4 linked regions of the Elephas maximus indicus genome follow. The protein of the gene in region 2 purifies or fractionates together with the protein of the main gene of each other region. This does not show direct contact. Links are inferred from orthologs where the notes say so. Each region holds a gene or a part of one and is shown on either strand. Other genes may lie near its edges. The genes, in order: SAP30L, SINHCAF, ARID4A and BRMS1L.

Region 1 (7,980 bases), on a different chromosome or scaffold from region 2:
CCCCAACATTTTGCTTTATACTATTCTCAACTTCCACTTTTCTCCAGGAAAAAAACAAAAACAAAAAAACAGAAATGCATCAATTAGAGGATGTTTGAAAGCATGTTATATCTTTTAATAAAGCACAAAACACCGCCAATGTCTACATATAAAAAGTCAAATCACTTGAATCAGATTTTTGGTGCTGTTGTTTAAGAAGTTTCTCTGTTAGACCCTTTTTTAATGTAAAGAAGCATTATTTCTCCATAACCAAACCAACATACTGGTTTTGAGAAATTCCAGAGATCAGTGGCCTTTTAGAGGGGGCGGTAGTGGCAGCAAAGGCTGTAGTATCTTTTTCCCATCTCAATTTCTGCAACAGCTAAAAATTCTTGTAACACAGCATTTACGTAGAATTGAATGCCTGCCCAAGCCTGTGAGAATGAAATAGAATTCCTTTCAGAAATAATGACTATACAACACCACCTTGAAACAAATTGTGAGTGATTCCACCTCAAAAACCTACTGTTCCAGGAGCATTACCTTTGGGGAATGCTAGAGCTAGGTTCAGCTGCTTCTCTTCTAGGCAGTGCGTGTGAAATTATCAACATAGCTCAACACAGGCTCTCCACTGGAGTCACTGGGTAAATGGAGCCCCAGTCGCAGCAGCAAAATCGTTCAGATGTAAGGGCATTCAAAGGTTTAAAGGGACTGAAAACTACTCTTTTTTTTTTTTTAAGGACTGGAAAATATTATTGTTATAATCTGCTCAAGTAAAGGCTCCCAACAACCTACACAGAAGGCAGATTCCAAGTGGATGAATTCATTGCTGTTCTAGAAAGAAGTATTTTACTTCAACACCTTGTTGCCAATTAGGGACCTCCCTGATGTCTAGACAGTTGTTTGCTCTCAGATGAATTCTATTCATTCATTCATTCAGAGATTTGTAGTTAAAAAAAAAAAAAAAGGCATTAGCTCACCCCCAACCATTTTAAAATGGCACCTTTCCTTTCAAGAACTGCAAATACATTATAATCCTTAAATTGAAGGAACAAACAAACAAAAAACAAAGAACAAAAACTGGGAGTGGGAGAGCTTGGACGAAAGAGCAGGGAAGAGGTTTACTTATAAAAGACTTAATCAAGGATTATGCATGGGACTTGGCAGTAAATTAGACAACGGGTTTAAGAACTGTACCAGTCTCTAAGGTGCCCTGTGACTTTGAGCAATGCCCCTTTCTATCTCCGGCCTTCAGTGTCTCAACTACAACATCAGAAGTGAAAAATAGTCTCCCTTTCAGTTTAAAAAGCAATGAGGATTCTCTGATTTTCCCTAACTGTGGAAAAATTTTGATTCTAAAAGCGAATGGATGTTAACCATCTAAGCTCTAAGCCAGTCAACCAGAATATTAAATACCCCCTTAACTCATTTCTAATTCCTAATCATGAAGAAGCCACTTAAGGATTGCTGCAACAGATGTCAAACTAAAAAGTTCTTAATTGGTTGACAATAGGCACATCTTTAGAATTGTTAACTAGAAATGGTAAATCACACAGGAAAAGTTTCCTATAATTAGGCACAAAACACGAGGCAATCCTATTCCAATTTAAATCAATTTTCCACCCCCCCAACAAAGAACCCCGCATTTCTAAAGCGGCAACCACTAAGGAAATTGATTTTTTTTTTCCTTTCAGTTACACTGACACCGAAGACCTGGCCTTGACTATTTTCTGCCACATCCTTGAAGAACCCATTTCCCCACAGCTGCCTCTGAAGCAGCGAGCTCAGGGACCCACCGCACACACTGAGGCCGCGGCGGCCAGGGTCGAACTGTCACCTTGCCTTTTCTGAAGGACTAACAAGGCTGCCGGACGCTGGGGGGTAAGCAGGAGAAGAGCCGGGTCCCTTCATCACCCCCTCCCCAATACCTGTTCCTTTGTGGGCCAACAAGATTAAGTCACCTCTCACTGCTCTAGTATCTAAACCAATAAAAGAAGACAAAAACTGGTGTCCAACCTTCCCAGGCAGGAAGAGTCCTCGGAACCTCCCCGCCCCCCGGATTTGGGCACAATCACAGTCATGGCATGTCAGCGCTGGAGCGGCCTTTCAAATTCCGAGTCCAACTCGTCGGCTTGGGAGATAAAGGGCGGCGAGGCCGGGAGCGAGGAGGGCCCGGGAGTCGGGACGGCAGCCCGGGCAGTGGCCGGAGCCGCTGGGCGCAGGGACCCTGACCCGGAGGGGCGGACTCACGCTCTTGTCGATGTCCAGCTTGAGTTTCTTCTGCGAGATGCTCTTCTGGACCCTCTTGCTGAAGGAGGCGTTGCCCGCGGGCCGGACGCAGCGCTCGCCGTCCTCGATGAGGCAGCAGCTCTGGCCGTAGCCCGGGGCGGCGGCGGGGGCGGCGGGGGGCCCTTCGCGGCTGTCCTCCTCGGTGCTGAACCCGTTCATCTCCCCGGCCCGGGCCGGCCCCGCGAGGGGAGGGTCCCTGGTAGGCCACTCCGCGGCCGCGCTCCCTGCGGGGCAGGTCGCTGAGACCCCCGTCCCCGAGGGTCCCAGACTCGGTCTCCGGATGAGGCGCTGCCCTGCCCCGCGCCCGGGAGGCCCGGCCCCGCTCCGCCGCGCTCCGGCTCCTTCAGCCCCCTGGCCCGCTTCTCCGGAAACCCCCTGTCTCCCCTCTCGAGGCCCCGGGGCCGCCTCCCGCGGCTCGCAGGGCCCCGCCGGGGGTCACCCGGAGCGTCTCCCGCCGGGGGCCCAGAACGGTCGCCCTCCGACAGGGACGTCCGAGAGGGTGCCCCAGGAAGCGGCCGCTCTCCAGGCACTCCCAGCCCGGCTTGCCAGGGGGGTTCGAGGGCCCCCGCCGGCTCCCGCCTTCTTTCGGCTGCAGGGCAAACTCGCTGCTGGGCAGCTCTCCCGGGGTGGCGCGGCCTCCCCGCGCGGGGCCCGGCCTCGAACCCGCGGCGCCCGGGCCCCGCGGCGCGTCCGGCCCGCCCCACCCCTGCAGCCGCTCTGCTGCGCCCCGAGTCCCGCGGCAGCCCCTGGGCCGCCCGGCCGCCGCCCGCCCAACGCTCCGCACCACAACAGTTCTCTCCCCCCGCCACCCCCCGCCCTCCGCGGGACAGCGGAAGTCCCGCCTCCTTGCGCCCATTGGCCTCGCTCGTTCTCTGGGCGGGGCCTCCGCCGCCGCTGGCGCGTCCCATTGGACGTTACCGCCGCCAGTTCCCGGCGCCTGGCTACTTCCTGGACTCTGCTGGGATGGGTTCAAAGTAGAGAAAGTGGAAGAGGCAAGAGTTGCCGGCCGAGGGAGGAGGGCCGGGCCGCAGACTCCCTGGCGGTGGGGAGGGATGGTCAGCTGGGTCCTGGCTGGACGGAGGGACAGTCTCTGGGAACCGAGGGACGACATCCGGGGGCCGACATAAGTACAGACGGGGCGAGGGCGCAGAGGGACAGACATGGGGGTAGGGGCATATGAAGGAGGACCTAAAGGGTTTACAAGTACTGTCATGAAAGGGACAGACTGGGTAAAACGAAAGAGACGGGACCAGAGGAGCCGCAGATCGATGGGAGGTGGGGTGTCTGAAACAGGACAGAAAGCCAGCCATGTCAGGAAAAACAGAGGGACAGTCCCGGTATGGGCACGTGCAAAGAGATGCGGGAGAAATGATAGGGGTCTGATAGGGAGGAGAAGCAGAGCGGTAGGCGCAGGGTCAAGGTAGTAGGACGGTTGGGTGTGGGGGAGACCCCAGACTGTAGACATGGGACTGGCTTGGGAGGCGCTGAAGTGTGTGTGGGGGGGTGACCCCCAGGGTCTTGAGTGGTCCCTCCGTTGGGAAGAATCCAAAGTCCGGACAAGGTCTGAAGGGTGGGCGAAGTGAACCGCGGGAAGGAGGGGCGGCTGCGGAGGAGGTGGAGAAAAGGCTGGATGGGGCGGAGGGAGGGAGCAAGGGCCAATCTCGGGCTGGGGAAGGGCTTGCAGTATATGGGGCTCTCCCAGGAGCTCGTGAACTGCAGCTTCTATAGCTCCAAGACCTACTGTCTAAAGGCGAGGCCATCGCACCCTGCCAAGCCCCCACGCTTGGGATTCGGCGCCCTGGGCGGCACACACACCTGGACAGGAGATCCTCTAGGGTAGGCCACCCCTAGTAAACAGCTTAGGGAAAATGATGTCCAAAGGGCCGAAGGGACTTGTCCAGGGTCACGCAGTCGTTTAGGGCTAGGTAGAAAGTTTACTTGCAGGGAGGGGGACGTGAGCACGTTTTCCTATTTAGAGAGTACTAGATGGCCAGAAAGAGCTTCGGATTTGTATTCCGTTGTGAAAGGGAAAGCTACCAGTTACCGTGTTCAAAAGCGGATGCTGTGTGATCTTAAATTTGTCTCAGTGGCCTTAAACGTGTTTGTACCCTCTAACCTAGTAATTTCACACCTGGGACATCCATCTTCTGAAACAGGCCTACCAGAGAAAAAATTAAGCACAAGGGTGATAATTATGAGATTATAATAGGGAAAAATCAAACCTAAAAGTTTCACGAAGTAAAGTGGTTAAGTAAATTTCCTAACATCTTTAGAATGAGGTATTTTGCAGTGATTTATGATCTTTTCAACATTTAAGGTGGTTTCAACATTTATGTAAACATTCTGTATATGTAACAATTCAGCATCAACTCTTCAACAAAGTTGAGAAATGCTTTTTAAAAAACAATGTTAAAAAGGCAGGATATAAAATTGTTTATGGGATATGATGTGTTAACATCTATGTTTAAAAAAAAGAAAAGCAACTATTTGTGCATAGGAAATATACCAAAGTGCTAACAGTGATTATTTCTGGGTAGTGGGTATATGGTTGGTATTTTTCTCCCTTTGTTCTACTTCTCTGCATTTTCCCTAATAAGCATTTATTGTTTTTATAGTAGAAAAAATATAGAATAAAAACTTAATGGAATAAAGGCTAAGTTTAATAGAATTCCTCTCAGAGTTCATATCTTCAAAAGAAATTATTGAGTACATTGTGTCTGCCTGGTGCAGGGTTGGCTACAGGAAGAGAATAAAACATAACCCTTGCCCTAAAACAGACTGTTGTCTCACTGGGGAGCTCAGACATTTACACAGAAAACATATACCTGAATAAGGCAGTGTGTGATGTTGGTTCAAGGTGATTGGTAGGGATAAGAGCTCTACACTTTCCACACATATTTCACACTTAGATATTTTTCAAAATAGCATTTCTATCCTGAGCCAGACTCCTGCAGTGCACATAGCTTCTTCAGCACCAGCTTCCCCTAGAATCCCCAGGTCTGTTGGGAGATTTTGTATCAGTTTTGTATTGAAACACTGTAGTGATAAACCTGTTGTTGTTGTTAGGTGCCTTCAAGTCAGTTCCGACTCATAGCGACCCTATGCACAACAGAATGAAACACTGCCTGGTCCTGCGCCATGCTTACAATTGTTATGCTTGAGCTCATTGTTGTAGCCACTGTGTCAATCCACCTTGTTGAGGGTCTTCCTCTTTTCCACTGACCCTGTACTTTGCCAAGCATGATGTCCTTCTCCAGGGACTGATCCCTCCTGACAACGTGTCCAAAGTATGTAAGAGGCAGTCTTGCCATCCTTGCTTTTAAGGAGTATTCTGGTTGTACTTCTTCTAAGACAGATTTGTTCGTTCTTTTGGCAGTCCATGGTGTATTCAATATACTTTGCCAACACCACAATTCAAAGGCATCAATTCTTCTTCAGTCTTCCTTATTCATTGTCCAGCTTTCACGTGCATATGATGTGATGAAAATACCATGGCTTTTTTTTTTTTCTTGGGTCAGGTGCACCTTAGTCTTCAGGGTGACATCTTTGCTCTTCAACACTTTGAAGAGGTCCTTTGCAGCAGATTTACCCAATGCAATGCATCTTTTGATTTCTTGACTGCTGCTTCCATGGCTGTTGATTGTGGATCCAAGTAAAATGAAATCCTTGACAACTTCAATCTTTTCTGTTTATCATGATGTTGCTCATTGGTCCAGTTGTGAGGATTTTTGTTTTCTTTATGTTGAGGTGAAATCCATACTGAAACCTAGTTAACAGCTTTTCCAACATACTTTTGTTAGGTTGTTATAGTTATGTGCCATCGAGTTGATTCCTACTCATAGTGACACTATAGGACAGAGTAGAACTGACCCCTATGGCTTCCAAGGCTGAAAACTTTACAGTGGCAGAATGCCAGGTCTTTTCTCCCAAGGTGTGGCAGGTGGGTTTGAACCACCGACCTTTTGGTTAGTAGCTGAGCACTTAACCATTGTGGCACCAGGGCTCCATTTTCTTACGTTAGGTGTTGTCAAGTTGATTTTCAATTCATATCAACCCCAGGTGACAGAGTAGAACTACCCCATAGGGTTTCCCAGGCTATAATCTTTACAGGAGCAGATCGCCAGGTATTTTCTCCCTTGGAGCTTCTGTTGGGTTCAAACTGCCAACCTTTTGGTTAGCAGCTGAGGGCTTAACCATCACACCAGTAAATTTCAGAGGGTGGATTTCTGGCAAGCTTCATTAACAGGACTTCTCTGCCATTCTGTGAACCACGGCTATGGCTTCTCCAACAGGGTCTGAATTTCTGTACGCTTTAGAGTTCTCTGTACTTCATTTTAGTCAATCTGTCCTTCCTACAGTTGCCTGTTAAATTAATAATTATATTAAACATTCCCTGTTCAAATTATTGTATGGTTTCTCTTTCCTGATTATTGGACTCAGACTGATATAACCAACCTTTCTATGTATTTTCTTTTTGAGGAGAAGGGCATGATTTTGCCTGTCCTTTACATATGATTTTGTAGTCTGCTTTCTTCAAGGAATGCTTTATCAGGAGCTTTCCCAGTGCTTGTTACGTAGTTCTCACAACCGCTCTTTTTAATGGCTGCATAATACTCCCAAGTGCTGTAGTACATTATACTACTGTGCTTAAGACGATGGACTTTGCTTCAGAACTGGGGTCAGTCTGGGCTCCATCCTTTACTTGCTATGGGTAATTCACCTGTGTTTACCCTTACTTGTATGAGAGAAATTCACTTCTCTAAGGTTGATGAAATGCGTGGTGAGAAATAAATGTTTAACACAGTGCCTGGAACATCATAAGTGATTAATGTTAACTGTTGTTTTATTACCATAGTTTACTTACACTTCCCCCAATCATTGAATATTTTTGTGTTTTCATTTTTACCTGTTATTAATAATAACACAACAATAAATATTTTTCAACATAATATTTAAAAAATTTAATATCATTACCTTAGCAGACTCCCAGAAGTGGAGTTGTGGTCAAAGACTAACATTTTCATGACTCTCAATGTATATACCATGGTCTCTTAACTAAGCTCCCTGATCTTCTCCCCTTCTCACCCCAGGCTCTTTGGTGCCCACCAAATCACTCCATCCAATTAGGCACCAGTTTAGAAGAATCCCCAACCAGTCCTTAAAGGATCAGGGCTAGACACCTATACCAGGCCATCACAGCCCTAGATAAGCTCTTCCCTCCCCTGTGCTCTGCCCTTTCCTTATTTGGGGTCTTCAGTAGATTTCTCTGGGCGTGATTTCCAATAAGTGCTCTTCTTTGGCAACAGGTGGACACTTAGGGATGGATCCCATGCTGGTTGGTGGGTTAAGCATATGGCATTGGTCAGTTTCTCCCCAGAGAATGTGTCAGTTGGAACTGAGAGGGGGATACGGGGAGTGGTGGGTGTAGACACACACTTCTGATGTTACCTGCCCTCTGTCCTCCCCTGGATCTGGTAGGGGGAGCTTGTCCTGTGAGATACTCATAGATATCTTGCTTGTTTGGAGACTGGAAGCTCTGTGAGGACAGGGAGGTTTAACAGAAAATTTCCAGCACCTAGGTTTTTTTTTTAGGAACTTAGTTAATATTTGTTCAGCGAATAAATGAATGGATGGATGAGTACATGGACGGATGGTTGACTTGACCATTACGGCAGTACAACATAATGGTGGGAAGCACTGACTCTAGATCTA
Region 2 (6,940 bases):
TCATTATATAATACTTTAAATGCTCCCCAAACCAAACTCCCAGACTTTAATTTAGATTGAGCAACCTAATGTGTTCAGTTTTGCAACATAAATTAAAAGGCTTGGCAAGTCTGGCAAACTTCAGTTCAAAAACAGGTGCTTTCTGTGTACTTTTAATGACAAGGTCAGATTAATTTTTTAAATTATTAAAAGGGAAAAGACGTTTTCTTAACCTTCCTTGGGACAACATACGGAATGGGGAGAAAAAAAAATGCTGGGGTAAAGCTGTCTCGGCCAGGGTCCATGTTTAGTTAAGTAGTAATTCCTAATCATCCAAAAGCCTGTAGTAATCTAAAGTCTATTAGACGGCAGAAAGAGAAAACAACAATAAAAATAAAAACCGACTGGGGGTCACAGTTACCAGAACAAACTCTGCACCGTCCTACCTTCCCAGAAACCGAACCCCCCTCCAACCAAAAGAAGCCCTGCCCCGCCCGATTCCCCCTCCCACGAGCAAACACACAAAGAAAACAGCGGCACGCACAATTCGGCCACAGTCCTCACTTCCCTTCGCAGCGACAGCGGGAGCCCCGAAACTTCCCCGCGGTGGTTTTCTGGTGTCGTCGGGGCTGGGTTCCTGTACTTGCGGGCCAGAGCGGGGGGAGGTGCTCGTCGCACTCGCCGGTTTCTCCGAAAGCGGCAAAATGCCCTCCACTCCGGTCCTTCTACGGCCCTGGGGTCTCCCCCAAACTGCGCTTCCCCCTCCGGCACGCGGTGACACTAAGCCAGCAAAGAGAAATGCACCCTGACGAATTTCTTGGTAAATAAGACATCTTGGGTCGAGAAGAAAGTTCCTCCTGAGGGCTGCTCGCCAGCGCGAGGGCGAGGGCAGCGGGAGGTGAGCCGTCGCTCCCCTCCTCCCTCACCTGCGCTGGAACAACGGGCCCCCGCGCCCGCCCCGGCCCGGCGCCTCCCGCAGGCCGCGCCTCCCGCACGCTGCGCTGCCGGGGCTTGTTCCTCCTCATGGCTTTGCCCTGACGTAATTCAAACATGGCAACAGTTCGACTTCAAAGGCGAATCCACAGACCTCCCAGACACACACTCCGGGCTCCGGGTACCGGGCCCACAGCTCCAGGCCACATTCTCCTGGCCCCTCGGTGGCCGCGGCAGCGGGCTCCGGGGTCAGGACGAAGCGCGGGGGGCCGCGAGGGCTCCCAGCTCTCCGACCGCTCGCCCCGAGCGGGGGAAGCACGCCGCCTCCCCGCGCACCAGCATGGCACCTCATACAAGTAGCGCAAAGTTTCCCCACGAGGAACTGAGGGACAAAAGCCCCTCCCGAAGCGCGCCTGAACTTCGGAGGGCCGGGACCCGGGCCGCCCTCGGCCCCGGCGGTCGCCCGGAGAGCCTGCGGGGCCCGCACGGGCACATGCAGCTCTTTGTTTTCTGTCCAGCCGGGCGCTGCCTACGTGCAGCATCAGGGATGTCGGACTGTTTCCCAGGGGCAAGACACTGACAATCGGGCGGGGAAGGCTTCAGACCTCGAGCCCACTAAGTCAGGAGCCTGTCCTCCGGTCCTCTCTGTTGGAAACGGGCCGGTTTAATCAAAGTTTCACAGTGTCCTTGATGAGAAAGGCCCCACACAAGCCGAGAGTTGGCGACTTTCACTCTGCTTTTTAAACTGGCAAGACGCCATCACCAGCAAATCACATTGTCCTGCCGGCCGGACCTACCCGACAGCGACCGCATCTGACTGCTGCTAACAAGGAGCCGGACCTTCAGACCGACGTCCGACTAAAGCCCAGGTCGCAGCCCAAAGCACGTGGTCTGTCATGTTGAGCACAAAAAGCAGTGCCCTCCGGAGTTCACTCACTCCTTCTGCGCAGACAACGCAGCTGCCTCCATCCCCAAGACAACTTAGCTCTAACTGGCCATCTTAAAGCGCACACAGTCGCCCTAGAAAGCCCTAGCCATTGCGCCCACACTACGCTACAGGTGAATAAATTGGTAACACAACTTAAGGCTCCGAAGAAACATCGGACACCAAAAGCTCCATGGGCGCGGTCCGAGCAGAGCAGGCATTGCAAGCTGGGGCTGCTCTCAAGCGCCGCGTGTTGCTCTCATTGTCGCATCCGCATCCCTCTGGAGTTCAGCAAATAACGCCACGCCGCGTGCACTCGCCAAATCCCAGCACTTTTTTTTAGCCCGAAAGGCCGATTTAAACCCCCTCACGCCCGCCTGCTCGGAAGTAGATGGCAACTTAGTTTTCGAGCGAATGGCGTTTATTGTCCACCCTTATCAAAACACACGCAAGGAGCTGCAATAAACTAAAGCACGAGGTTTAACCACGGCGCCCGACCATTACCACGGCTTGCGCCCACGCGGATGCACGACCCCAGTCCCCTCCGCAATTGCCAGCAAGTCGTTTTTCTCTTGGGCCTTTCAGCCATGGAACTCCTTTTAGCCAGAGAACACTGCGACCGAGAAAAGTCATTGTCACCTTCAAAGTGGATCCCTCAACTCCAGCGACTCCTCAGTTATTTCCAGGCTCCACTCACTTTCCCACCCCAAGACTTTCGGTTTCCCTCAAATACCCTCCCCCCCTCCATTAAAAATGCACAGTAAACGTATGCATAGAAAATAATCTGGACTTTGAAGATCACCAAAGCAGCGCTCCCAGCAATGCCATCTCCAAGACAAAACTTCCTGTGTGTGTGTGTACGTTTGTGTATGGAAGGGCTGGGGGAGGTGGATGAGGTAAAAAGAGAGGAAGGAAAAAAAAAAAAAAAAAAACCCTGAAATCAAAGCCTCGTCAAACAGTTTTTCACCAGAGTAATTGTTAGAGTAACTCACCTTCCAAAAGCAGCCGTTTCACTCGCAGAAACGTTCCCGAAGTGCGGAGTGCACGCCAGGCCAGCCCCCCCACGCCAGTCGCTCCCTCCTCCTCAACTGCCTTGTCTAGAAAGATTGTCTCCTGCAGTTCTGCAGTTGCTACCGCTGGCCGGGAAGGTGTAGATTCCGCTTTCCTTCTGCGCACGCGCAGCTCCTAGTGCAAAATTCTCTTGAATCGAACTTATTTGCATGCGGACGCGCGCGCGTCGAGGACTGGGGAGGGGAGTAGGCCGGGCGGCCGCGCGCGCTCCCGAAACTTCTATTGTCCTTTTAAGGGGAGAAGCGCCGCGGCGCGGGAAAAGAGGCGGCCAGAGGGAAACGGGGGCGGGGACTGCTTACTACTGCGGACGTCACATAAACAAACGGCCCCTAGCTGGAGACGACGGCTGAGGGGGAGTGGCGGGATGAGAAAGGCGGAAAGGTTAGCCACGAAGGGAGAACACAGACCCCGTGACGTGCTTTCCACCTAGAGGTTCTGAGGGCGCACTATTTCGCATTGAGAGAAGTTTTTGAAGGCTGTTTCTGTAAACTTTTCACACCTGTGCCCAGTTTTTGGCCTGAGGTGACAAGGAAGGTGGTTTTATAAGCACCCTGGCTGAATTCATCTTCTCCCACGTCTCCTGCATTTTCTTTGAAGTTGGGTTTTTGAAGCTTTTTTTTTAATCCTCGGGCCAACAGATTTATTTTTGCTTGCAATTAAAATGGGTCTTTTAATAAAGTCCCATTTTCATACCCTGTCCATTCAGTAACTCCCACCTGCCCTTTTCAAACGGTAACTCCTTTTTTTTTTTTTCCTTCACTTCGGCCATAAGATTTCAAGACTGTGGAGACTAATAGTTATTAATTTCAGTGGCAACAGTGCCGCTTTCTCAAAAACCTAGTCAGTGGAAAGCCAATAATCTAGGGACATGAGTACCTCCTCCAGCTGCCTATAAAGGGTGTTCCACTCACCCAGAAATAATAGCACTGACTGGTAGTCTTAGGAATTGAAAAAATGGCGAGGGAAACATGGAAATTTTCCTTGTGGAATATTTAATAAACCAACAATCTAAACGTTTCTAGCCTCAACAAAAAAAAAAAAAAAAAAACTGAAGTAACTTCTCAGATTAAAAAAAAAAAAACATTGCCATTAAATGAAAAAAGAATGATTGTGATACACCTTTATCCCGGGAACACACTTAACCCCAACAGGCAGAGACCCCGATTTAATGATGCAGGAGGGTGGGGAGAGAGGAAGGATGTTTATCCCAGAAATTTGATATTGGTCCCAAATACAAAAGTGTGAACATCAACCGTAAAACTTAATCATCTGCTGACAAGTTTCACTGCTTTCACTGTAATGTCAACAATATGGATTTAAATAGATACTTGTGAAACGCTAGTTCAACAGCCAATTCCTAGTACACAGTACAAACCCACTTCTGAAGTCTTATTCTGCTTTTAAAAATATTTTTAGTATATTATTCCTGTAACTGTATATTAAAATTATTTTTTAATACCTGTGAAGGAAAAAAAAACTCCTGACACTGCTCCCTAGAATGTGAGGTTTTATTTCTTACTCATTCTTGTATCCTGGTGCCTAAAACAGTGCACAACAGGTAATGGATTCTGAATGATTGGTTGATAAATAATAAATCAATGGATATTTTCAAATTTATTGTAGACTTATCTCAAGCCAAAAGAGTTTGGCTTTAGTTTACAATTTTTGTATTTGACCTAAAATGAGTTTGGAAGTCATAATGATCACCTCAATTGATATAATGCCATCTCTGTCCTTATATAATAAACTTGAATAGGCTGGATAACCATTTCTGGGTTTTCACTGATGGCACACTAGACCCTGAGCATAAAAAATTACCTTCTTTTTAAAGAAAATTTTGAAAGTTCCCCTGAGTTACCTCAAATACATATTTGGTTTATGGCAGATCCTCCAAAAATAATTTCAAATTATACGCCATTTGAGATATGAAAATTGCAAGTATCTTAATAATATTTCTTAAAACTTCTATTATTGCTTACAACAAATATGAAAGTATACCTTGAATGCCTTTTCTCTTGGAAGTTTATGTAAAGAATATATTTTTTAATTCCAAGGATGGAATAGGTTCAAATGTGCAAGCATTGCAGGAATTACAGTGTTTAGAATATACTGTTTAGATAAGAAAGTACCTGGAAGCTCCAGACCTACTGAATTAATACCGTGTAGCAGGATTTCCTTTGCTTTCAAAGTAGAGGTAAAGAAGTAGTCTGGGTAATTTTTGTAAGAAAGGTAGCAACAGAACTCTTAAAGGGAAATTTTAATTCCTTAGTCTTCTTTTTTTTTTAACAACTACCTGGTATTTTTGAACAACCAGGTGCATTCCAAAGGTTCATTACGTTGCTTGAACGTGTTGGTATTACGGCTGGCTTTATCCAGGGCCAATAGCTCATTTATGGGATACTTTTTAAAAATACTGTTACCTAAGAAGCCCAAGTGAATTTTTGAACATTAAAAAAAAAAAAGGAAAGAAAAATATAAATTTGGATTACAGGAGATTGAATTACACCATGCTAAGAAAATATTTGAGTATTTTTAAATACAATAGTGCTATGTTGAACTCACTATGAATTCATAAAAATATTGAAATTAAAAATATACCTAAGTAGCCAGATACTCTGACTAAACCAAATACCTTGCTTATAACATATTGTAGCTCAATGCTTAAACATTCATTCAGCAAACATTTAATTGTAACCATGTGCCAGACAGTGAAACCGTTTTATCTCTGGAGGGGCTCAAGCCACCTCACCTCTCCTAATTTCTTTCTGTGCAATTCTATCTTATTTGCTATTCTTCTTCTGTAAAATTCATTGCTTTCTTTTGAGATTTACTTGCTGTCTGCAACTTTAAAACTTATTATAATATTCTTGTAATAGAGGAAAAATTATATCAAAGATACCCACCCAACCCACTGCCCTCAAGTCGATTCCGACTCATAGCAACCTATATCAAAGATAGAAGAGGACAATTCTTGCTTGGTAATGAAGGATATTATCAGCAGTTAGTAACGTTTGTAATGACAACTCAAGCTAATGATTGTTTTATAAATGAAGTCTAATATCTTCATCCAAGCAGGTACCACATCAAAACATCATTTGTTGAGCCCAGGAAAGAGCTGATTATTATTATTAAACCTTGGGATAAATTCCTTACAGAGTAATAGCTGTAAGACAAAATCAAGAGCTCTTTTCCTCACACCAAAGCAAGTACAATGTTTTGCTACTTATTTGTTTAAATCCTATTGAAGTTCAAATAAGCAAGTGGTCAGAACAAGTCAGATAATTTTACACTATAAGGTATGGAGTTGATTATGTGATCTAAGATATCCCAATCCTCCAACAACCATTGGCAGCTGCCAGAAAAAGCTATTTATTATTTAATTGAAATTGACTTTTCAAGTTTCTGAACTTAATGACTTAATTGACAAAAATTCATTCTTAGAGTAATCTCTTTATTTATCACTATATTATGACATTTGAATAGCATACTTTAAAAAGATAAAATTACAGATAATAAAAATTATTTTATTTCAAGAACATTGACGAACTAGAATGAGTTCATAAGACAGTAAGCCAGGATGATGAAGGAGGCTGGAAACTATAACATAGAAGCAATAATTGAAGGAGGGAGCATGTTTAGTTTGAGCAAGATAGCAATCTTTGACTACCTGAAGGACTGTTATTAGAAGAGTGAATGAATGTGTTCTTTTATGTTTTGGAACGGAATTAGATTTGAAAATCACAAGAAAGTAAATTCTTGCTAAATGTAAAAAAAATTTCAACACAATGATGGTTCAAGATACTTCAAAAGGCAACTCTCCATCACTAATGGTATTTATACCTGTGCACACACATACACACCAACCAAAAAACCAAAACACACATGCACACAAAGCCAAAAATATCTTTCTTCAATAATTCCATTCAATGAATTATATTATTTAGGATACAAAAATAGCTAACCTCTAAACTCCCATCGAATTCTATAAATCTATCATTCCATGAGATAAACAAGTGCCTCAAGTTCAGAAGA
Region 3 (7,899 bases), on a different chromosome or scaffold from region 2:
TGAAAGGATCATAAAATTTAAAAATAAAAATAAAAATTTTTCCTACTTCAGCTTCAAGACTCGTTTAAAGGTTCTGTATTTAAAATGAAAGGAATGCTAAAATTATTTGCTTATTAATATCATTAATAATTAGAAAAATACCCTTAAAGCCAACATTTTATTAAATAGCTCTTTATACACTGGATGTCCTTATCTAATAGAAGATGTTTTATAGTTGTAATCACAAAGTATCAGTAAGAAAATACAATAATTTTTTATAGATATAAAATGGTTCAACAGTTCTACAATTTATATAAAATACAGAAAAACAATAAAAAAGAGGAAAACTATATTCATTTGACATTTCCCATAAAATTTTAAACCATTCATTTATGGTCTCCTCAAAATGTTGTCTTCAAATTAAAAGAAATATTGCTATTAAAATTAATACTAACAATATGCAATTAAAGGTTTATTAACATAGCTACATAAAGCCTGTACCTTAGATACAGTGTAACTATACATATAAGAAATGAAGACAACCATCCTGACAAGGAGATTATTATTCGGAAAATTTTTTGGTTGAAAGGGGCATATAAAAAGTTTAAGTCTAAATACAGCTAATGAACGCAGAGATGGGAACTGATGTCTCAAGACTGTAGCCCTACCTAGCTTACAGAACTGGTAATCCTGGTATAAAAAACGAGCTTCGCTAAGAAATGTCTAATGGCCATGATTAGAATGATACATTGAACGATGCAAGAAATTTTATTTTACCATTAATTTTGATCTTGACAATAATAAAATGATTGCTATCTCAATCTGTCATTTTGCCTATTTTTTCCTAAAGCTAAGTTCCAAATTCAACATTGCTGAGTGCAAAGGTAACAGTGTACACTTTAGAGACAGATTAAGTTTAAAAAATAAAAAAAGGCTTTTTATTTTTCCTAGTAACATTAAAGAAGGTTAGATGTGTCACTTAGTGCAAGAAGATAGGAAAGAAAAAGAAAGTTTTGGAAAATGCCACATACACGTTTCAGAGCTTAATACACTGAAACAGTAAACGAGTCGGGAATCTGGTACCTTTTAAAGGTAATGGATTTACAAAGAATGCAAAATGAAGAGGAATGCTTTCCACAAAAAAATACCCAAACTGAAACATTGAGTGCCACAGCGCTCCAGAATGTTAGGATACCTTCCCCTTTAAATATCATATGCTGATGTTTGCAAGATTAGTTGTCTTCCGAAGAATTTTTTTTTTTAGGTTGGATATATTTAAAAAAAAAATTTACTATGAAAATTGGAGTAAAACTATTATTAGTTTTAGTACAACTTAAATATTTTAGCCCGGAATTTCGCTATATCCCCAGAAGACATATACCCCTTACTCAATCCCCATATTCTTTCTCTTAGCAAATTGCATTGGCACAGAAGAAAAAAAATTTTCAAAAAATCCCCCAAAGCACCAAAGCAGGACAAAAGCTTTACTTCTGCGACGGTTGCTGCCAACACAGGAAGTGTTTAAAAATACTAGCCCAATGGACAATTGAAAGGTTGCACCAGCCTTTCCAAAGCGCTAACTGCTTCAGAAAGGGGCTGAACCGTCTGCATTTAGATACACTGATCATTTCTCAGCCATTCAACACGTCCTCATTTTCATTAAGTGCTGCTTAGTAATCAATTTTGAGAACCAAAAAAAATGACATTCCACGGCAGGAGCCTCACGACAGGCAGTGGCCAGGGACATCTCGAGATCCAGAGTAGCACTGATTCTACTTACCTTCATTTTTATTGGTGATCTGTGGGGTTCCAGCTCAACGAGCTATCTTCACTGTCGCTAGAATCATGGGGAGGGGAAAGACAGGCACAGAGTCAGCCAAAAGCGGGGAGCGACCCAGGGAAAGAAAGTAAACAAACGCCAGCGGGGAGGGGCAGAAGCCTCACCAGCAAAGGGATAAGATCCCCTCGGAGGGCGGCCAGGACGCAGGGGCAGAGGGGCAGCAAGAACCCTCGAGGCGCCAAAGGGCAGCCCGTTCCGCCCCGGAGTTCGTCAGCGGCCCACCGCGCCCCCGCCTCGCTCGCCACTTTGACTGGGAATGCTGAACTCGGAGCCCCGGGACGGGTCGCGCTGGAGAAGGGCAGTGCGCGTTTCGGGTTCCCACAGCCCACCAGACGGAAGGTCGCCGAGCCTTTTCTCAGCCGCCCCCCGGATACTCTCGACTTAGGCCCGCGACCCGCCTCCGCCGCTCGGGCCCCTCGGCCCGCCCCGGGCCCGCGGTGGAGGCAACGGAGTGTCACGGCGCCATTGCTCTCCTTCCTTCACTCTGCACCATGTCAGGAAACCGAAGCGCTTCTTCACCCCGAAGTGGCAGGGGCCGCGGCCTTCAGCCCGAAGCCCGGAGAGGTGAGAGGAGATACGCGAGGGGGAGGGGGCTCGGGGGGCGGAGAGGAGGAGGGGAGGTGGCCGGGACAGGGTGTGGGAGGGGAGGGGAGCCGCACAGCGGCAGCCACCGCCTCCTCCCCGCGCCCGCCTCAACTTTTTGTACAGCTCGAGAGAGGCACCAGCCCCCAGCCCCTCCGGTCCTGCCACGGACACTACGGGAGAGGACGCACCGTGGAGCTGGAGGCCGGCTCCCCGGAGCAACCCGCTCCTCACCGCGCGGAAGCAAACTTAGCGGCGCGGCCAGCCCCACAGCCATTTTCCCGGGGAACACGGGGAGGCGGTCGAGGAGGCGGCTGCAGCGGCAGTTCCTGCAGTTGCTGCCACTGCTCCACGACTTGCCCCTTCCCCTGTGCTCGCTGCGCCGCTTGCCTGGCACCCCCCTCCAACGCCTCCAAAGCTTCCAACTGCACCGGGACCCCGGGCAGGAGCACCAGCTGCTACTGCTTCCTCCATTCAGTATCCTTCGCTTCCCTTCTCCCCACCTACCGAGTGCGGGTGAAGTGCGCGCTGTCAGCTCCCCAGTGCTCTGCCCCCACTGGCCCCCCGCGGGCCCCGGTCCGGGCAGCACCTCTACCGGCCGCGGCAGCAGTTCCTGCGCCCGGTCCCCCACTCGCCCGATTTACTGCCACAATCCACCAAATAACAAGCTGTTGAGCAGACTCGCTCCTACACGAACTCCTATTGGCTGCTCATGACGCCGAAGAGCTTCGGATTGGAGCTCGCTAGCTGCCGTCCTCATTGGATGTAGCTCTGAAACTTCACGGATTGGTGCGAAAAACAGCAGGTAGGACATCGTCCACTTATGATTGGCCATCTTCGAAGGCCAGTGCTATTGGAAGGTAAGGTATTGAGTAAGCAAGTCCTGAGAAATGATTGGTAAAAACGACTCCGGATGTGCTTGACTGAGCACTGATTGGTGAATTGAGGGGTCAGGAAGAGCAGTTCGGCACGAGGATTGGCGCCGAAGTGTCCCATGGAAACAGAACCTGGAGCAGCGGCCAGGGGCTCGCAAGGGGGCGGGGCAGAGTCTTTCTAAGGCGCCTGCGCTAAGGCGGCTTCTCGGCGCCATTTTGTCTCGGCAGCGGTGGCCACAGCTCTATCGCATTTTATGTTTCTGGCGAGAAGGGATTGGAGCGTCTATCCGGTAGGTTCATTTTAGTGCGGGACCTATTTACCGTTCCCTCCAGGACACCACTCAGTGAATAGCGGAAGAGTCACGGACCCTTCAAAAAGGTCAGTTGGAGGCTATGGTAGCCTGCCTGACTGGGGAATGGCGCAGCTTTAGCGGCACCGGAAGTGGAGGGGCCACACGACAGCCATGGCAAAGTAAATTCTCTCTGCCTCGGGGCGGGGGGGGGGGGCGGTGGGAGGAAAGGGGGCGAGGCTTACTCGCCGCGCGACAGATGAAGAGGCGGAGGAGACGAGCGCGTCGCTTTCTGGGTGGTGATCTCAAGAGTTGGGAAGGTTTTCTTGAGTTTGCTATTGTCCCAGCAGTCCTTCCTCAGTTTAGAATAGACATATTCTCCAGCTGAGCGTCACTGGCTGTGGGGGCCACCTTAAGACGGGAAAGGAATGGTTCTTACTCAGACACATCCTACGTGGGGAGAGGGTTTTCCGCGTGCTCCTCGCGTGACAAAGCTGTGAGGAAACTGAGGAATGCTCTGGGTATCCAAATGCTGAGGAATTTGCTTGCCAGCACTGACGCTGCTTCTGTGACCTTGGACAAGTGGCTAAGCTACACTGCACAAGGCTCGAGCTACTTTTTGAAAGGAAACAGTAATGATTTTGTAGGGTCTTGAAATACATTCGGACCTCGCTGATAAGAATAGTTAAGGGCAGCTATTGGTATTCTTTTAGCAAACTCCTCTGTTGAGTGAAACAAAAACTTACAGATTTTAAGTGGTGGCATTAGAGTATTCATTAAGAAGTACTTTTAAAGACTCAGATAATAAAAAATGTGAGATATTTTCGATAATCCACGTGGACTGATTTTACTCAATAAGGGAATTTAAACCTGAACCTTTTTATTCATAGCAGTGATTTTTCAGAAGATTATTTATTACGTGAAATGTATGTCAGTATTTTCTGTTGAGTGACTGGCCACACTTACCTGGATACCAAAACCCAAACCAAACCCAGTGCTGTCGAGTGATTCTGACTCATAGCGATCCTAGAGGACCGAGTAGAACTGCCCCATAGAGTTTCCAAGATGCATATCTTATAATTATCCTCATAATACCAGTGTTTTAAACCCTATTGTTTTGTTGGTGGGGCTCAAGACTAAAAAATGGTTGAGTGACTTAATTTATTACTGTTTCTTTTTGGCAGTTGTGTTGAGGAAAGTATAGGACATCTCAATGACAAATATCCAGATATTACTGAGGTGAGTCCTGATACCTGTAAAAATTTTTAGAATTGGGGAGACCCACATGGAAAAGTTTTCTGTGAACCACTAGAGGAGAGCCATGAATGATAGTATGGAAGAATAGTAGTTGAAAGATATTTTGTTTGGCAGAGGGTTCATATGAGCTGCCTGATGTGATAGTTTAGGATGAAATTGAAAAATTAGGAAATTAGGTCAGCCTTATATGTTTCTTTACCCATTCAGGTAGTTCTCATCTCTGGATTTTTAAGTATTTAATATTTTTATCATGAAACACTGAACATTTTCATGATTTTTTTCTCCTGTGTAAAAACTTAGCATATGAAGACAATCTTGTCAGTAAGTATTTAGAAGTGATTTTCTTATTTTTTAAGGAAATGCTAAAGCAATATAATGCTTCTGAATTTCCCAGGGGGTAATCACCTATAATTCCACTGCCCAACTTTAAATTATTATCTAATATAAATAATGCAGGTGAGTAGGCTTTTGGAAATTATAAAAAGCCCAAGGAAGAAAACCATCTCTTATATTCTCTCTACCAAAAGGTAATCACGTTTTATGCTGTACTTATGGAGGGATTCTGGTTTGTTTTGTTTCACAGTCTGGTTGTGTATTTTGCCACTCATGTTTTTTCTCTTTATGGAAAACATTGGGCACATTGGAAATATTGTCCAACTGTATAGGCTAGATAATTTATAAAACCTGTCTTAATTTTACTGAAGAGCAGTAACGTGTCACTGAGCGTTCTTGTATATGTTTTGCAAAATATTTTACCTAATGATTGACATCACTGACTAAAATTTCTAGTCATCTAGATCTTCCTTCACATCCCTAATTATTTCTTTGGAATAAATTCCTAGAAGTGGAAATATAAGACCAAAGGGATTATACATTTAAGGCTTTTGATACTTGTATAATTGTCTATCAGAAAGCTTTTACTTCTGCTGCAATTATGTTTTTTATCCTGCTTCTTTTTACTGCTTTTTCCCCCAAGTTTCTATTTTTCTATTTTTGTTTTTTTAGAGAGTCAAAATTTAATAGAGCACAAGCAGAAATATAAAACATTATAGGTAGAAAAATAAATCCAGTACAAGTATCCCTGAGAATCATAAAGGTTGGCATTCTGTACAGCGTTGTGCTGACCACTTTTTACTTGAGGTTGTCGTTCAGATCTGCAGTCTGAAAGGATTTTGCAGTTTCTCGGTTTGTATTCCTTATTTTAAATATTTCTGTTTCTCATAATTAAAATTTGGTACCAGATCAGTTACTGTCGAGTTGATTCTGACACACGGCAATCTCAGGTGTGTCAGGAGCTTTCACTCCTGAATCTGTTTATTCATGACTCACCATCAAATGGAATTATTACAATCATGAAGTTACATGTAAATTTGAGAATTTTTTTTAGGCCTTAGGAGTGATTTTTTTTCCCCTCGTTTTTGGTTTTTAATTGAACTTTGGATGGTTTACAGAACAAACTAGCTTCTCATCAGTACACGTTATTTTATGTCATTGGTTAGGAATGTTTTTTGAACTGTTTTTTCTGTTAGGTGCTTCTGAAGTGGATCTTTAGGATAGTTGAACATTCGTACAGTGAAACATTTTGCTACAACAGAAGTGGTATTTGGAATATACTAAGAACAAACAGATTGCTCTTATGGTATGGTTAGTTGAGTTTAATTACTTTATGTTTCTGGGTACCCCTGTCTAAAGTTCCACATTCTTAGGTGGATTCCCTCAGCGCTTTTGTACCCTCATTGGACCATTTACACGCCTCTTCTGATCACACATTAATTGGAATCGTTTAACTCTTTCCCCCTTTGAGAGTGCTCCCAGAGGGCAGCAACTATTTTCATCGTTATGTTCCCTTACTTGTTAGGTGCTCTGTAAGTATTTCTTATCAGTCTATGCATATTTGTATGCAAAATATGTAAGATAAACTAGTATTTCTTTATAGAAATTTTCTTCTGAGAATTAACGATACTGCACAAGTGCTTTCGTAACCTTCAGATTTTCTTTTTTAACATTCCAAATACTTGATTTAATGCTGAATTGCGTTTCAACTGCTAATAAAATGTAGAACCCATTAAAAATGTATCAAAGTAGTAGTTACTTGAAATGTTTTGTAATTTCTCGATCCTTTTTTTTTTTAAAGGATTTTATGATATTTTATTGGGAAGTACTTGCACATGAATATTAACAGAACGGCTAGTTGTTGTTGGCTGCCGTCAAGTTGATTCTAACTCACGGCAACCCTATGTATGCGCATTAGACCTGCTCCGTAGGATTTTCGAGCCTGTGACCTTTTGGAAGCAGATTGTCAGGCTTGTCTCCCAAGGCACCTCACGTGGGTTCAAACTGCGAACCTTTTGGCTAGTAGTCAGGTGTCACCCAGGGACTCCTGAACAGTGAATTAGACCATGGTATAAATGAAAGAAAATAAAGTATGATAGAATTATTTTTATGTAACGTATTTGAATGAGCTGAAACTGAGAATATGTGTTCTTAAAGTTTCCTAATGATTTTACAGGTGATTTTAAATTTTTCCTACAAAATCAAAATTGTCATTTTTTAATAATGCTTCTATTATATAAACCTATTTTGAAATCAGACTCCAGAGTTCTGTGTTTTGCAGTGTGGACTGTAACATACTCTAAAAGAAGTCTTTGTCTTTTAGAACAAGCCTGGTTTTTGTGAAAAAATGAAGCTCGGATTTCCAGTTTTAAAGACTTAGATCTGCTATGCGTGTTGAAAATTCTGTTCCTGGTATGTAATCTTATTTAACTATCCCCGTGCTGTTATCATATATATGTAACTCTTGTGAAAAAGAATTTTTTTTCACTGTGCAGTTATTTCTGTAAACTTCAGTATATTGTTGAGAAGCCGAACTGATGACTATTGAATGTAGCTGCTTTTCTAATGATTTAGTTATATTTTGGGAAATTACATGATTGTAACCAAAGGAAACTTTGTGGCCAAATGGGTTTGATGTTTAAGATTTAATAATGGCTAATAAAGATCAATAGATTTGTCAAAGTACAGTACGGAGTCAGATCTAGAGATTTTTAAAAGACAAATTCCTGTAGAAGGCAGAACA
Region 4 (7,203 bases), on a different chromosome or scaffold from region 2:
GACAATCTTTGATGGTTATGAGGGAGGGAGGCATGAAGATGGGAAAACACTAAATAGACATTAGATAAGTGCTAACTTTGGTGAAAAATAAGACAGTTTGCAATACTGGAGAAGCCAGTAAAACTTGTTCAAGGCAAGGTCATGGAAGCTCCATAGACAAATCTAAACTTCCTGAAGGACTGAATTACTGGGCTGAGGGCTGTGGTGACCATGGTCTTGGGGAACATCTAACTCAACTAGCATAATGTAATTTATAAATAAAATATTCTATGTTCTACTTTGGTGAATAACATCTAGAGTCTCAAAAGCTTGTGAGTAGCCATCTAAGATAACTCCAATGGTCTCACCCCATCTGAAGCAAGGGACAATGAAGAAAACCAAAGACACAAGGGGAAGATTAGTCCGAAGGACTAATGGCCACAAATACTACAGCCTCCACCAGACTGGGTCCAGCACAACAAGATGGTGCCCAGCTACCACCACCGACTGCTCTGACAGGGATCACAATAGAGTGTTCCAAACAGAGCTGGAGATAAATGTCAAACAAAATTCTAACTCACAAAAAAATATCAGACTTACTGGTCTGGCAGAGACTGGAGAAACCCTGAGAGTATGGCCCCGGACACACTTTTAATTCAGTACTGAAATCACTCTTCAGCCAAAGATTAGACAGGCCCCGGTTTACCCTTCAGCCAAAGATGAGACAGACCCATAAAACAAAACAAGACTAAATGGGCACACCAGCCCAGGGGCAAGGAGGGGAAGGCAAGAGAGGGCAGGAAAGCTTGTAACGGAACCCATGGTGGAGAATGTTGACAACTGATGTCACAAAACAATATGTGTACTAACTGTATAGTGAGAAACTAGTTTGTTCTATAAACCTTAGTCGAAAGAATACAAATTTTTTAATTAAAGCAAAAACTACTTGCAGATAAAATGTTTTAAGATCTAAGACATGTACTCACTCAGAGTCTAGATTTCCTCAAAGTTTAAGAAAGAACTTGTGATCTTCTTTATCTATAATCCCCACTTACCTCATAGCTAGGCAGATGACTTTCAAGTTATTCTTCCCATCCCTGGCATGCTCCAATCAACCATTTCCATCTATCAGTGGGACATTCTTACTTAAATATACCACCATCACCTCAAATGCGACCTGTCTAAAATACTGTGCTATTACTTATGTCCCATCCTTATCTCAAATCTTTTACTTTTCTACTTCTTGTATCAGGGTTTCTCTCTTACCTTCACTCCTAAACTTGCATTCATTGATCCTGTTTTATGCTTTTTGAAATCTTCCGTATCTATACCTTTCCCTCCCCTTCATAGCTCAAATCCTTCTCCAAACCAAACTGGTTTTCTCCTTCTTTTAAATAAGCCTTAAGCTTTAGCTTTTACACTTTTTCTTATACTCCTCCCCCTACAGGAACACCCAACTATTACCACCACATCCAAATCCTACCCATTCTTCAAGATAATTAAAGTAATCCTATCTCTTCAAGGAGTTTTTGCTGGCCATCCTATTCCGAAAAGATTTTCTCTGCCTCTGAATTCCTACAGCATCGTTTATAGTTAAGCATTCATTTAGGAATTTAAGGAAGTGGTGACAATCCTTCAGGGAGACTGAAGTGTAACTATTTATACCGCACACTGGGTAGTGCCCAGTGCTACAAAAAGAAGTCACTGATAAATGTTTATTTTTGGATGGTTGATTTATTAATTAAAGTTACATTCTTCCAAAGAGATTTACATTTAAAGGGGAACCTGAAAAGAAGGCATATAGGGATGATAAGAGACTGTCCTCAACCTGTACCCTACATGGCCAAAATCAGGCCAGAACAAATGAGTTTCATCCTCATTATAACGATAAACGGAAAAAAAAATTCAGGTAGTCACAAATTCCATTCCTTTTTTGAAAAACCATTCCTAAGTTTGCAAAACTGATATGAGGTGTTAATCCCCCTCCGTCATCGAAAAAAAAAAAAAAAAAAGCCTAAAATAGCCCAAAGGTAGAAAAGAGGGAAGGAAGAATGTACTTGGAGAAATTGAAAGCTGCCAAAAATCAATTTATAAACACAAGTGGGATCTTCTCCTCGAAGTTGGTCCCTTCCTCTCGGGCTTGAAAAGTTCAGGGAGATGCTGTAAACTGGACAGCTCCCAAGTCAGTCCCCAAAAGAGAACTGATGTAAAACGCTGACTGTCAGGCTGACTCCGAAGCTGAGGTTAGTAAATTCCAAGCCAGCCAAGGGCTGGTACAAATCTACCCTCGGCCCCGAAAACCCACCCACGTTGAGAAGTAAGCGTTGCAAAGGTGAAAAAAGGAAAGAGGTCGGTGGTCTGCGAAGAGAAGGCATTTCCTGGGTCTCCAAGACAAGCTGCCGGGCCTGTCCACAGCCCCAGGACACAGCCCGGGGGTCCCAAGGGCGGGTCGAAGCGCGAGCAGAACAGTGACGCGACCCGAGGCTGGGCGAGCCCAGGCCCGTGCTCCGCCCCGCCCCACGCCAGGGACACGCCTGGAGCCAGGCAGCGCCCCGCGATCGGTCCGGGTTCCGCGGAGGGCTGGGAGCCAATCCCCGCCCCTTCCCTCTCTCCCCGCCCCGCTCTCCCAGCAGGACGCAGCTGCCCCGCGTGCAGAGAGCGGCCTGTCGCGCGCCCGGCGCGGGGACTCAGGGTCCCAGTCCTGCTGGGTCGCATACCTGAGCTATCTCCATCCTCGGAGACCGACGAGCTCTCGGTGTCCTCGTCCTCGGAGCTGCTCCCCTCGTTCTCAGCGTAGTCCACTTCCATCTCATCGTGATGGTTCGTCTCCTTCTTATCCCCTCGGGAATGCACCGGCATTTTCCAGCCACGCCGTCGCTTCCCACTCCCGGCGCCCAGCCCGGCCACCGCCGCTTCAATGAAGGGCGCGCTGAACGCCCGGACCCACCCCACTGCCGAGCTCGTTCTGAACCCACTGGGCTCCTCCCCGCCCCCGGCCGGGGCCTCACAACCTAACCCGCAGGCTCTGCACTGGGTGCTCTGCCATTGGTGGAGGCTGTCCTCCGAGCTCGGGGGCGGGGTTTGCCCTGCTCAGGCATGGTTGGTTGTCCGTCATTACAGCGCGGCCTCCTGATGTTAGTAGGGAGTTGTAGTCCTTATTGCGCAGACGTTCAGGGGCTGACGGCTTCCCTGCCTCAACAGTCCTGATCACTTCTCCCCTCTGGACTTCAAGTCCCACAAGGCACAAAAGCTGACACACTCGATCTCAGTTTATAAACTAAACAGAAACAGATTGTGGAACTTTGGGTCCGTGTTTATCCTTTTCCCGCCAAGTGGATAGTCTGAGCTCCCTGGATATCTAAGACTTTACGGTCGGGTGTGAAAAGGTCTTTTGCCTGAAGGCATTTTGGCTGCTCTTTGAGCTGAGTGAACTGGAGAGCCGTTTCTTATACCAAAATACCGCACACAACTATTATTTGGATTAGTAATTGTAGACAATAACTTGCACTTTCTGTGGTGTACAAAAGTCTTTAAATTGTTCTTGAAACTTTTGCAGTCAATAATCTAGAAAGGAATGGTGTTTTATATTGTCATTTTCAATATAGACTGTGGTAGAGTATATATAACAACATTTGCCATTTCAACCATTTTTACGTGTACAGTGCAGAAACATTAATTACATTCACCAAATTGTGCATTCATCACCACTGTTTTTGATTTTTTTTCATCATCCTTAACAGAAACTCAGTGTCACCTAGGCAATGACTCTCCACTTCCCCCTCCCACCTGCCCCTGGTAACCATTAATAAACTTCAGTCTCTATGTACTTGCCTATTATAGATATTTTATGTAAGTGGAATCATACAATATTTGTTCTTTTGTGTTTGACTAATTTCATCAGCATAGGGTTTTCAAAGTTCATCCATGTCACTGTTCGTATCAGAACTTATTTCTCTTTAAGGCTGAATAATATTCCATTGTATATATATACCACATTTTGTTCAAACATCCCTCTATTGATGGACATTTAGGCTATTTCCACCTTTTGGCTGTAGTGAATAATGGTGCAATGAGCGCTGGTGTACAAGTACCTGTTTGAGTCCCTGCTTTCCAGTCTTTTGCGTGTATCACTAGGTGGTATAAGAGTTCAGCTGCTAACCAAAATGTGGGCTGTTCAAATCCACCAGGCAGTCCTTGGAAACCCTATGGGGCAGTTCTGTTCTGTCCTATAGGGTCACCATGAGTCAGCATCAACTCAACAGTGGTTTTTATAGTAATTCTGTGTGTTTAACTTTTTGAATAGCTACCAAACTGTTTTCCTCTCGGCATCATTTTACAATCCTACTGGCAATAGGTGAGGATTCCAATTTCTCAACATCTTCACCAACATTTATTGTTTTCTGCTTTTCTCATCATAGCCATCTTAGTGGTCATGAAGTGGTATCTCCTTGTGGTTTTGATTTGCATTTCACTAGTAACCTTATACATTTTCTCATGGGCATACTAGCCATTTGTATACCTTCTTTAGGAGTCCTTGAGTAGTGCAAACAGTAAATGAGCTAGGCTACTAACAGAAAGGTTGGTGGTTGGAATCGACCCAGAGGTACCCCAGAAGGAAGGCCTGGTGATCTACTTTGAAAACATCAGCCATCGAAAACCCTATGGAGTACAGCTACTCTGACACACTTGGGGCACCATGACTTGGGATTGACTCAATAGCAACTGGTTTGTTTTTTTTGTATCTTCTTTGGTGAAATGTCTATTCAAGTCCTTTGCCCATTTTTTGTCAATCATATTTTGCATTTATTTTTTACCAAATGCAGCGAAGATGCCACCATCTTGATTTAAGTTCAGTTTTCACTGATACATACGTGTTTGACTCAATGAGATGCTGTTATATTTTCTCAATAATAAACAGACAAGGAAGACTCAACAATCAGTCTGATAATAGTAATAATAACTAGTGTTAATTGACCACTTTTACTCTGTGTGGGTACCTTGGTAAACTCTTTACATGGTTATATTAAGTTTAATTCTAAATTTAACAGCCTTGAGGAAGGTGCTATTATTAACCCTATTGTACAGATGAGGAAACCATTTGCAGACAAATCTAAAAACTATGTTTTACTCATTATAAGACAAGGCTTCTTCTTGAAGTGATAATTTGCTGTTGAAGATTTCATAGAATATTATGGATTATATGGCATTTCCTTCTCAAACATGAAATTCAAAGACATTTGAGGGAGGGTGGTAAGGGTACCCTGGCCATAATTACATTAGGTTTGGAAATTAATGACAGAAAACCTTTCGAAATCTCTCCATCTCCCACAAGGTAAAATCCAAATTAGGGGTTTTTTATTATCTAGTGTCAGCCTACTTCTCCCCCTCTCACTATATTCTCCAAAACTGAACCCCTTATAGTTGCTAAATACAAAAACTGTCTCCAATCTCAATACCTTTGCATATCCTATTTCCCTCTTCTTCTTCTTCCTGGTGAGTATCTATACATTTTTCAAAGCCACTGTCTTGACAACACATTTCCCTATCGGTTCCTCCACCTCTCCATACAGCCTTATGTTCCTTCAGGCTAGAGCAAAACTTTGTACTTTGCAACTTCGAGTTTTTTCTATCACACTGTATTATGAATTGTTTATGAGAATGCATCTCACTTATCAGATTGTGAATTCCTTGAGAGCAAGGATTATCTTAGTCTGGGCTGCAACTTCAAAGGCATGCAGTAGTCAGGCTAAAAGTAGTAAAGCTAAAAGATGGAAGCTGGAAGTGTGCACATACATTATGTGAGTGGTGTGGACTAAAGAGGGCAGCTGCTTTTTGCTCTACCCAATTGTTAGTAAGAATTCTGGCTTAAGATCATCAGACCTTCCAGTTTTATGAGAACCTGGAAATTTATCTCTATGTGAAATAGTCAGAATTATAAAAATTATAACAATTATTTGTTGTTTTTGTTTCTCAAACTCCATACCAAACAAAAACAGCTGTGGGTAAAATCTTTAGCCTCCATTTTCTCTGTTATATCCTCAGTTAGCAGAGTGCTTGCTAAATAGTAACGATAACTAAAATTTCAAATCACTCTCTACCTGCCAATTACTGGTGTGTACATTCATTTCTCATAACAATCCTATGAGGTAGGCACTATTATACCATTCATTTTATAGATGAAGAAACCAAAGCACAGCAAGGTTGGATTACTTGACCAAGGTTACACAGCTAATAAGTGTCAAAGCTGAAGTTTGACCTTGGGTATTCCAAAATCAGAGCCTGTACTCTTAGCCACCAGAACTCCAGTGCCCCTCTAGCAAGTGCTATCTATGTTTGTGCTGCTCAAAGAAAAACAGAAGGAAGGTGGAGAGGAAGAGGCATGGGTTCTAGCCCTGGCTCTGTTAGTATCCATCTGATTAAATTTGGCAAACCACGTAATCTCTGGTCAGTTGTGAAATCAGAAGGTTGCATAATGTAATCCTTAAGTTCCCTTACAACTCTTAAAATTGTCATCATCACTAATGGTGTTTAAAGAAGACAGAATAATAGGAGATTATGCAGTTAGAGTTGCATGATGGTGTTTTGCCTAAGGTGAGGGTTTCCTCCCCCTCTCCCAAACACATTTTAGAAAAGATGTGAAGGAAATCACATGGAGTAGCAATGAGTCAGAATTGACCAGACCACAACTAACAACATAGGGGGGAAAAGTTAAAAAGGCTAGAAAAGAATATTGTCAATATGGAAAATATAAATTAATGTAAAGAAAATCATGAAAGTAGGATGAAGTTTCCTCAGTCAAGGCAGTTAAGTGATGCTTTATATTTGTATAGCACTTTACATTTTACGTAGGGTTTATACAAACATTAGATACATTTTAATTAATCCATTTATATTTACACATTTAGTGTGAACCCTCTGGAACTCATAGTTAGTCATCATCAAACTCGCCTATATCTTCGCCCTCTTCTCCGAATAGTCCCTTCAACTTCTTGGTCTAAAGGAAACACAGCTCTTCCCCTAGGACTCTACTTCCTTTGTGCCCTTCCTTTCACTGAGCCTTGTTGTGGAGTGTATGCCTTCCTTGTCCTCCTTGTTCCTTCCACATGATCCTCTCTCCTGCCTCCCTAAGCCCCCAGCTTGTCGCCAGTTTATACCACACAGTACCTCTACTAGTAGCTGTCATCTACATGACCCCAGGACTACTACTCCTTAATTTTTTAAGAT

The links.
Region 1: the proteins of SINHCAF (region 2) and SAP30L purify together in Homo sapiens (affinity purification with mass spectrometry; 3 studies listed by BioGRID and IntAct, counting the BioPlex papers as one, with this or other methods). This does not show direct contact. The link is inferred for Elephas maximus indicus from reciprocal best matches to the Homo sapiens genes SINHCAF and SAP30L.
Region 3: the proteins of SINHCAF (region 2) and ARID4A purify together in Homo sapiens (affinity purification with mass spectrometry; 3 studies listed by BioGRID and IntAct, counting the BioPlex papers as one, with this or other methods). This does not show direct contact. The link is inferred for Elephas maximus indicus from reciprocal best matches to the Homo sapiens genes SINHCAF and ARID4A.
Region 4: the proteins of SINHCAF (region 2) and BRMS1L purify together in Homo sapiens (affinity purification with mass spectrometry; 3 studies listed by BioGRID and IntAct, counting the BioPlex papers as one, with this or other methods). This does not show direct contact. The link is inferred for Elephas maximus indicus from reciprocal best matches to the Homo sapiens genes SINHCAF and BRMS1L.

Annotation. Positions count from the first base shown.
Region 1 is NC_064820.1:170,584,569-170,592,548, reverse strand, and holds the start of SAP30L (histone deacetylase complex subunit SAP30L), read right to left. Parts: upstream 3,003-7,980; 5' UTR 2,428-3,002; coding exon 2,230-2,427; intron 1-2,229.
Region 2 is NC_064822.1:89,800,958-89,807,897, forward strand, and holds the start of SINHCAF (SIN3-HDAC complex-associated factor), read right to left. Parts: upstream 3,013-6,940; 5' UTR 2,830-3,012; intron 988-2,829; exon of another isoform or gene 906-987; intron 900-905; exon of another isoform or gene 524-899; intron 1-523. UniProt on the Homo sapiens protein: Subunit of the Sin3 deacetylase complex (Sin3/HDAC), this subunit is important for the repression of genes encoding components of the TGF-beta signaling pathway.
Region 3 is NC_064828.1:70,643,489-70,651,387, reverse strand, and holds the start of ARID4A (AT-rich interactive domain-containing protein 4A), read right to left. Parts: upstream 3,003-7,899; 5' UTR 2,909-3,002; intron 2,016-2,908; exon of another isoform or gene 1,924-2,015; intron 1,817-1,923; 5' UTR 1,766-1,816; coding exon 1,760-1,765; intron 1-1,759.
Region 4 is NC_064828.1:48,160,511-48,167,713, reverse strand, and holds the start of BRMS1L (breast cancer metastasis-suppressor 1-like protein), read right to left. Parts: upstream 3,001-7,203; 5' UTR 2,839-3,000; coding exon 2,697-2,838; intron 1-2,696. UniProt on the Homo sapiens protein: Involved in the histone deacetylase (HDAC1)-dependent transcriptional repression activity. When overexpressed in lung cancer cell line that lacks p53/TP53 expression, inhibits cell growth.